Linked DNA regions of Ovis aries. The protein of the gene in region 1 purifies or fractionates together with the protein of each later gene. This does not show direct contact. Links are inferred from orthologs where the notes say so. Each region holds a gene or a part of one and is shown on either strand. Other genes may lie near its edges.

What was found. Proteins that work in one complex are often made in the same cells at the same time.
Region 2: the proteins of ANAPC16 (region 1) and ANAPC13 purify together in Homo sapiens (affinity purification with mass spectrometry; 3 studies listed by BioGRID and IntAct, counting the BioPlex papers as one, with this or other methods). This does not show direct contact. The link is inferred for Ovis aries from reciprocal best matches to the Homo sapiens genes ANAPC16 and ANAPC13.

The regions. Positions count from the first base shown.
Region 1 is NC_056078.1:27,526,070-27,529,569, reverse strand, and holds part of ANAPC16 (anaphase-promoting complex subunit 16), read right to left. Parts: exon of another isoform or gene 3,329-3,500; 5' UTR 3,302-3,328; coding exon 3,160-3,301; exon of another isoform or gene 3,119-3,159; intron 1-3,118. UniProt on the Homo sapiens protein: Component of the anaphase promoting complex/cyclosome (APC/C), a cell cycle-regulated E3 ubiquitin ligase that controls progression through mitosis and the G1 phase of the cell cycle.
Region 2 is NC_056054.1:255,495,601-255,499,850, reverse strand, and holds the start of ANAPC13 (anaphase-promoting complex subunit 13), read right to left. Parts: upstream 2,801-4,250; 5' UTR 2,492-2,800; exon of another isoform or gene 2,371-2,491; coding exon of another isoform or gene 2,339-2,370; exon of another isoform or gene 2,317-2,338; intron 2,287-2,316; exon of another isoform or gene 1,339-2,286; intron 1,213-1,338; 5' UTR 1,181-1,212; coding exon 1,082-1,180; intron 1-1,081. Other genes in the region: CEP63 (centrosomal protein of 63 kDa), read left to right, coding at 2,801-3,046. UniProt on the Homo sapiens protein: Component of the anaphase promoting complex/cyclosome (APC/C), a cell cycle-regulated E3 ubiquitin ligase that controls progression through mitosis and the G1 phase of the cell cycle.

The sequences.
Region 1 (3,500 bases):
CGCATATCACTTTGCTGCTTTGTATGTCTATGGAACACATTTCTGCTGATTTGCAGCTCTGCATTAACCACGAAGTCCACTGCTTCTTGGCTACATCCTATTAGATGTGATATCTGTAACAATCTAAAGTCTGGAATTTCTCCAGAGAGGAGTCAGCCTGGGGCAATCTGTCTTCCATTTAGAAATTGTAATCAAACTCTCTGTAACACACCAAGTAGCAATACATCAGCTTTCCTCTTTAAGGGACAAGTAAAGGTTATAAATGGTGAAAAGTTCAGTAAATTGTCCAAATCTAACACCACTGTTAACTCCAATAAATAGGATGCTAACAAATTCATTTAAAAGACTTATTATCCCACAGCGGGAAAACAGGCAATGGCAGATAATTTATGCTCCAGTGGCATACGATGCCACCAAAATTCAGCCATTTCAGGACTGGAAGGCAGTCTCCAACTTGCTTACTAATATAGGGTGAGACAATAGGGTGAGACAATCCTAGCCAAAGGCAGGGGAATGTTGAAAAGTCCTGTACAGTATACTGCATATGTGAGGTGTCTTGATATCAGACAGCAGATACACAAAAAAGTTAATACACAAGGTTAAGTACAGGTTATTTCGGTTTATTATCCTAGACTTGGGAGGATGCAAGACCAAGTTGAACCTGTTAAGATAAAAAACAGCACCTAATTGCTTTTGTTCTTACTCTGAAGAGGCAACTCTTCCTACTCTATTTTCATACAGGCATATCTCAGAGATGTCATAGGCCTGGTTCCAGACCACTGCAATAAAGCAAATCACACTAATTTTTTAGTTTCCTATTGCATATAAAAGTTATGCTTATACCATGCTGTAGTCTGTTAAGTGTGCAATAGCATTATGTCTAAAAAAAAAGAATGTACATACCTTAATTAAAAAATATTGCTAAAAAAATGCTAACCATCATCAAGCCTTCAGGGAAATGTAACCTTTTTGCTGGTGGAGGGTTTGAAATACTGTCAGCATTACCAAAATGTGACACAGAGATAGGCAATGAGTAAATGCTGTTGAAAAAATGCCGCCAACATACTTTTTCAAGGCAAGGTTGACCAAACCTTCAATCTGTAAAATACATGGTATCAGCAAAGCCCAACAAAACAAGGTATGCCTGTATTCCATTAAAGTTCCGTAAGAAAAATGGTCAGGTACATGTGCATTAGATTACTTGCATAATAGTATCACCTATAAACACAGTAGGATGCGGTAACCAAATCTACCATCCCTTTTAATTCACATTTAAGGGTACCCTTTTCAATTTAACATTTTTCACTTGACTCAGGATAGTTCAAGGGCTGCTACCTCTAAGTTTTCATAGGTTGTCCTTAAATGTAAATAGCTTTAAAGTATAGGTGAAACTTTAAACCTAAGGAAGAAAACCCAAACTGGGCACTGCAAATTTAAACTTAAATTCATTCTACAGTAGAAAGGCAACACAGTCCCCCATGAAGCATACTGAGATGGAATACAAGTGGACAGAACTATCACTTGTTAGAACATCAACATTTAGACTAATCTCAGAAGCCTTTCTTCTTTAATGTTTCCAAGAAATCTGGTGTACACTGACAAAGAATGCTGACAGCTCTGAGACCATGGAGGTACCGCTGTATTAAATTCCTCCTGTAGCTAGACTTTAAATGACTTTAATCTTAGGGTTCATTGTTAAATAAGGATTCCTTTTCTGCTGCCATAAAACTCATTAAACAATTTAAGTGCCTCCAACTTTTGATTTGTTTTGGGAGAAACTTCCTAATACCAGGTCTCTGAAGCATATAACTTAAGTCATAATTTATTTTTAGTGCCAAATATGGTAAACAAGGCCCTAGATGTTCACTACCTCCAGACTCAGTGATGTTAGCTTGAGTATTCAGTTAACATAATTGAAGAAAACAAAAGGGCATAGACAGAAGTATCAGTACATACACCTCATGTATCACTAACTACAATATCTGGTTGTTTACTTCACCAATCATGATTTGAACCAATTCTAAAAAGTCTTCCTATGTTTAGTCCCAGTCTCCCCTATGGTCCCAGTCTTCCTGTGTTTTCCTGTCACAAGTGATACTTCTGTCTGCGTTGGCTTAATCCAAACCTCTGCTTTTTATTATACCTGATATAAGTGAAGACCACCCCCGAAAAGCTGACTCTTATCTACAGTCTGTGCCTTTCTCAGATATTTCCAGATTAATTTTTAAGTATATTTACTGAAATCTGCAATATTTAAAGCAAAAAGGATCAATATACAATTAAGGACAGATGTGCTTGAATCAAGTAGATTTTGAATCTTTAGTAGGTTCTTTACTGATTTTTTTCGAGGTATGAAGAATAGTTTAATAGTTAAGGGCCACTTTCATGAGAATCCCCTGGATGTTAGTCAAAATGGAGATTCTTGTGCTATAACCTAGACTAATTTGGAATCTCTAGGTGAGCCAGAAATGTGCATTTTAAATCAGCTCTTCAGGAGGTTTTAATGTTCTCTATTAAGAATTTATTGGTCCATCTCCTAAAGTGACATGTACCTGATGAATTCTAGGTACTAAAGTTGTTTCATGCTTATAGCCTGTGCCCTGATCTTGGCCAGCCAGTTTGCAAATGTGTGCTGAATAAGATAGGGGATGATTTGATGCACATCCAGCTCCAGTGCTTGAGAAACCACACTGCACTGTCCTGCAGTGGGCCATGTAAGAATAGTAGATTGGTTTTTATTTTCTCTCAGAATCTCTTCATCTATCTGTAGGTGAATTATATTAGAAAAAATATATATGAAACCTACTAACCATAGGGAAGCCGACTGGTGCCAGGATAAAGCAAACTGGAGCAGGAGTTTAATGGAATTCCTGGTCCAAGTGCTGACTGTGTCTTTTCACATGGTCAAATCACTTTATCTTTTCTGGGTCTAAATAACTCTAAATGACCTCCATGATTTCCAAAGTCTTTTTCAGCTCCAAAATCCTAATTCTGGAGAAAGATTTGTGTTTTAAAGATATTTTGAAATGAGGACAAGAGATGAAATGTAGAGCTGAAATCAGGACAAACTCGTAACTAATCCACTTAATAGCTTCTTTACAATTAATATTCATTGCAGGTCTGAATCCAATTATTCAGCAAAAAGCAGCATGAGATCACCTTCCAACATCTCTCCAGCTCCTTTGGGGTAGGTGAAAAGGGCTTTCCGTGGTGGGGCAAGGTCTGAGACACTGAAACCAGATCCAGTGACAGAACTTCCACTGACCCCACCAGCTGAGGAGGATGATGAAGAGGCAGCCATTTCCTCTCTAGCAGAATTCTCACTTCACTACAGAGAAAGAAAAACAGCAAATTGGCAGTTTATGGAAGTGAGACCGACAACATTTCATTCCAGCTACCATGAAAGCCAGCATGCAGTTTAGTCAAGAATTAGTTCCAAATTTTTCTACCCTCTGTACTCCCACGATCTTTTAAGGCTCCTTGGGCCAAAATGTCACTCA
Region 2 (4,250 bases), on another chromosome or scaffold:
ACCTAGTCTTAAGGCACACAATAGGCTTCAAAGAACTGCTTGTGGAATGAAAGAACCAACAAAAGTCCACAGGACAGGATCTGGAGCCTCACAGACCTCAGTGTGAAGTCTAGCTTATTAGCTACCAACCTTTGGGCAAGATCTCCTCTTTGATCCTATTTTCTTCCTGTACAGTGGGGACATCATCATCACCCCTGAAGGTTCTTTTAAGGATATAGATAAAATAAGTCAGGTTTCAACCTCAGCCCATGGCACAAAACAGGTATTCAATGAAAGTGGAGCTATAATTCTTATTATGCTCTTTTGATTATTTTTCTAAACTTGAACTAAGCTGTCATTTATTATCTGTTACGTGTATTATTCCTTGAACACATTACCTCTTATTCTTAAATGAAAACATGTATGGCCACAGCAGACCACCTGCTTGCAAATTCTATTTAATCAACAACTCTTGGCAGGCTCTACAGAAAAACAATCCTTATTCTTCTTGTTAGGCTTCTATGACAAAAATTCTATGACAGAATTTTTAGTAAGCATTTATTCGAGTAAAACGTTTAGATCTTATGACGTGAGGCTTAACAAACTCCCTGCAGAATAATTTTCCAGAGATTAGGAAAGAAAAGAGCTTGATGATCTAAATGTAAAAGAAGAAAAGCCAGGTCTCTTCTGAATATTTTCCAGGGAACCTAGAATAGATATGTGTTCCAAAACTGTGAGTTTCTAAAAATGACAGGCCACAGGTAGAGAAATTAAGTGCATATACCACTGCTTCCTGTTCCTCCTCATGGTGTGCATTAAATTCTTTACTCCCTTTGGTGTGGTGGACAGAACATGGCTCAGAGGGCCTCAGTTCTAGTTCTCATATGACCTCTAATTGAGCTAGTCACCTCAGCAATCTGAACCACATTTCTCTTCAAATACAAAGTTGAGCTAAATACTCTCCAGAGGTTTCTAGAGTCAGAGGACTCCATAGTTTTGATTTCTTTGACTTTAATTTATTTGTCCATTGATAACCTACACCTACTAGGGTCTACCAGATCAGACCTTTAACCCATCACCCTCAGCACACATTTCAGCCTACCAGTGGTATTGCAACATCCTCATAAGGCAGCTTATCTTCTCGCCAAGCATCGTCAATCAAATCCAAGATCCTTCCATCTCTCTGTACCTCACTGTCCATTCTCTTGCAGCTTTGATCTTGTCGGATGGGACCTGTAAACCAAAGAGGTTATTTCTTAAACATGAAGAATGAAAAGATGATGTAATCCAGCCACTAGGGTTCTCTAGGCTTTCTAGTGTGGGTTTTGGCATTGGATCATCCAGGGAGACTCATCTCACCTGGATTAGATTACAGTTTCTTTATAACATCACAGTACCTCCCAGCTGATCTTCCTAGTCACACACAGATTCCATTTTTTGGTAAAGTTTTCTCGGATCACTCAGCGTCAGCATGCATTCTGCCCTTGAATGGTTCCTTGTTTTTATGATTCACTAGGCAAGTTAAGTTGGCTTTATGACTGATGGTTCAAGCATTATTGTTTTCAATTGCTGTGCGTAAATTTTTTATTAATGATTCAGCATGTTTTCCCTCAATTTGGCCTCAAATAGTTTTTCACCTATTCTTCTTTAGAATATATCTAACTTGTCACACTTTCCAGCCTTTGCACCTAAAAAGGTCTCTCTGCCCCATCACGAACACCTATTTTTCCTTCCAAACTCAAAGTTGAGTGTCAGCTCATCGGGGCTAACATCTCATTTCCAGAGTTAGGCGCTAAGGTGCCGTCACTCTTCAGGGGCTGGAAGCGTGGAAAGTACAAGGCGGGCAATGACCAGGTCACAGCCAGCGTCCCAGGCACTTGCCAGTCCCCATAATTAACTGTTACCACTTTCCTGAACAAAATCTTACACACGTGACTGTCCCAAAGCTTGGAATGCTCTGTCTTCTTCCTTTTTTCCTCAGCTAACCCCCAGTCACTCTAAACAACTTAGCTCCCAGGTTGCCTCCTGCAGGAAGCTTTCTCTAAGCTCCAAGAAGAACGCGATATCCGCCCCTCCGCAGGTTCCATATTTCCCGGGGCGCAGTGAATGGGCCCCATCAGGGGCTTGTTACATTGCCCGTTACAGGGTCTTCCCAGACAAGCGGTGCGTGCGTTTCTTCGGGACAGGGGCAGTTTTATTCACCTCTGTTTTAGAGATCGGTAAACTTGCAGTTAAAAGAGCAAACCTGGAATGCCCTTTCCCCCCCGCTAAATATGACCCTCTCGGGCCACCACCGTCCGTACAGGCGTGGGATCCCGCCCCATAACCTCGGCTTCCGGCCCAAGGCGGGCTCTACCAAATGCGGAAGCGGGGGAAGTCCAGGGCCTTCGTGTAAGTCCTTTTCTACCCTCCCGACGAGCGGTAAGGGAGGTAGTTATCAGGGTGAGGTGAGGGCAACGACCTCTGCCGATAGGATCGGCCGAAACCCGAACATGCGCTTCTCCTACACTACCTAAGCTAGGGCGCGGGAAACCTTTACCAGCACTGGCCCAGCACAGCCAGAACCACGCCCCCAGCGGTCATGTGGCCGAGGCGCCCTGCTCTCCGATCCCCGGAAGTCGGTGAGCCCATTTGGCGGGGCGGAGGGGGGGGGGGGTCAAGGAGGACGTTGCTTCAATTAAAAGTCAGGGAGCAGTAGGCGGAACGAATGTTCCGAAGACCGTGACTGGACGTCAGGTTGGCGGTGACGCGCGTGCGCGCCCCCGTCCGGAGGTAACGGCGGGAAGATTCGGGGGCGCGCTCGTGGCAGGCCTGTAACCGCATGTGTGAAAGTCCAACAGGCGACGGGTGCCGGTGTCCGGAGCCGGAGGCCGCCCTGGCTGCAGTGGGGCCGCAGACTGAGCGGCCGAATGGCCGGGGGCCGACTTCCTCAGCCGCCCGCTGGCCTCCAGGCTCGCCTCCGCCGGCCCGGCTCCGCCCCGGCGCCCCGCCCCTCCTCGCCGCAAACGCTTCGCAGACCCGCGAAGCAAGATATGGCCTCCCACGGCGCGCAGTCCGGGCTAGCCAGGTGGTCAGCCCTTCCCCTGAGGCCGGCCGGCGGGAGGGCGGCGGGGTGGGCGAGCTGCTCCGCTTCTCCCAGCGGAGTCGGCAGCGAGTCAGGCTGCCACTTCTGGGGAGGTACCCCCGGCCCAGCCCTCCCGCCTGGGCTGCCTCATTTGGCTAGCATCCTTCCTAGCCTTGTTGAGGCTTAGGTTGCTGACGGCAGGTGATAGTGGTTCATTTATGGGTGGGAAATTTAGCAAGTTTTTAAAAATAATTGACTTAAAAACCATAATGTTAGTTCCAGAGGTATGGTAATGTGGCAGAAATCATGAAGGACAGAATTTGGGGAACCCTGAACTTATTGCTCCATAGAAATCAGGGATGCGAAATAAAGTGAGAGAAAAAAAGGGATGGGCCCATAAAGCACTATAATCATGAACATATTTGGAAGCAGTAAACCTAGGCTCATAATGTAGTTTTTACAACATCAGAGAGTAAAAGTGAGCTTGCTGTCAGCGACTCGTGTTCATTTACAGCGTCTAGTTAAAGCATGCGTATTGCGCAGAGTAGTTTTCCTTAAGGCTTACAAACGGTTCCTTAAACCAGTGTTAACATTTTTTTCCTTCCTTTAATAAAACAGTACTGTAGGATTTGTGCCCTGTAGTTTTACAGTTCCCCACATGCTTGCATTTAACTATTTTCTAGATACGAAGAGGAAACCATAAGGATCATTAACTACATGTTACCTTCAAATTTTTCTATACTGATCATAGCTGTAGCTTAATGATATAATAAAGGGTATGTATTTTCTTATTTGAAATGTAGTATTATTAGCTTTTTATCGAGCTTCTTGCCTTTTGACTATATCATCAGTGATCAGTATAGTAAGAACAACTGAAATTAAAACGGGCTAGATATTGATAAACATTATAGATTCAGGTTTTAACAGTTATTGTAGTTGTTGTATGTATTAATTGTATTGATGCCACTTGTCTCCCGTTAAAAGGTAGAACAACTTTGGCCCTTCCCGTTCTCAGTTAAGGTAGTAGTGGTATTGGACGGTAATAGCATCACTAGTCAACTTTATTAGAGCTTCCTCCTTTTAGGAAGCTTGTTTGAAATTCAGCTAAAACCGACACTGACCTGGGTTTCAGGAATTGAATTTTTGGTTTCTGTGTTACTTTAAATATTTTTCTTTAAGAACTCAGATTGTGTTTTCAGCTTTACAA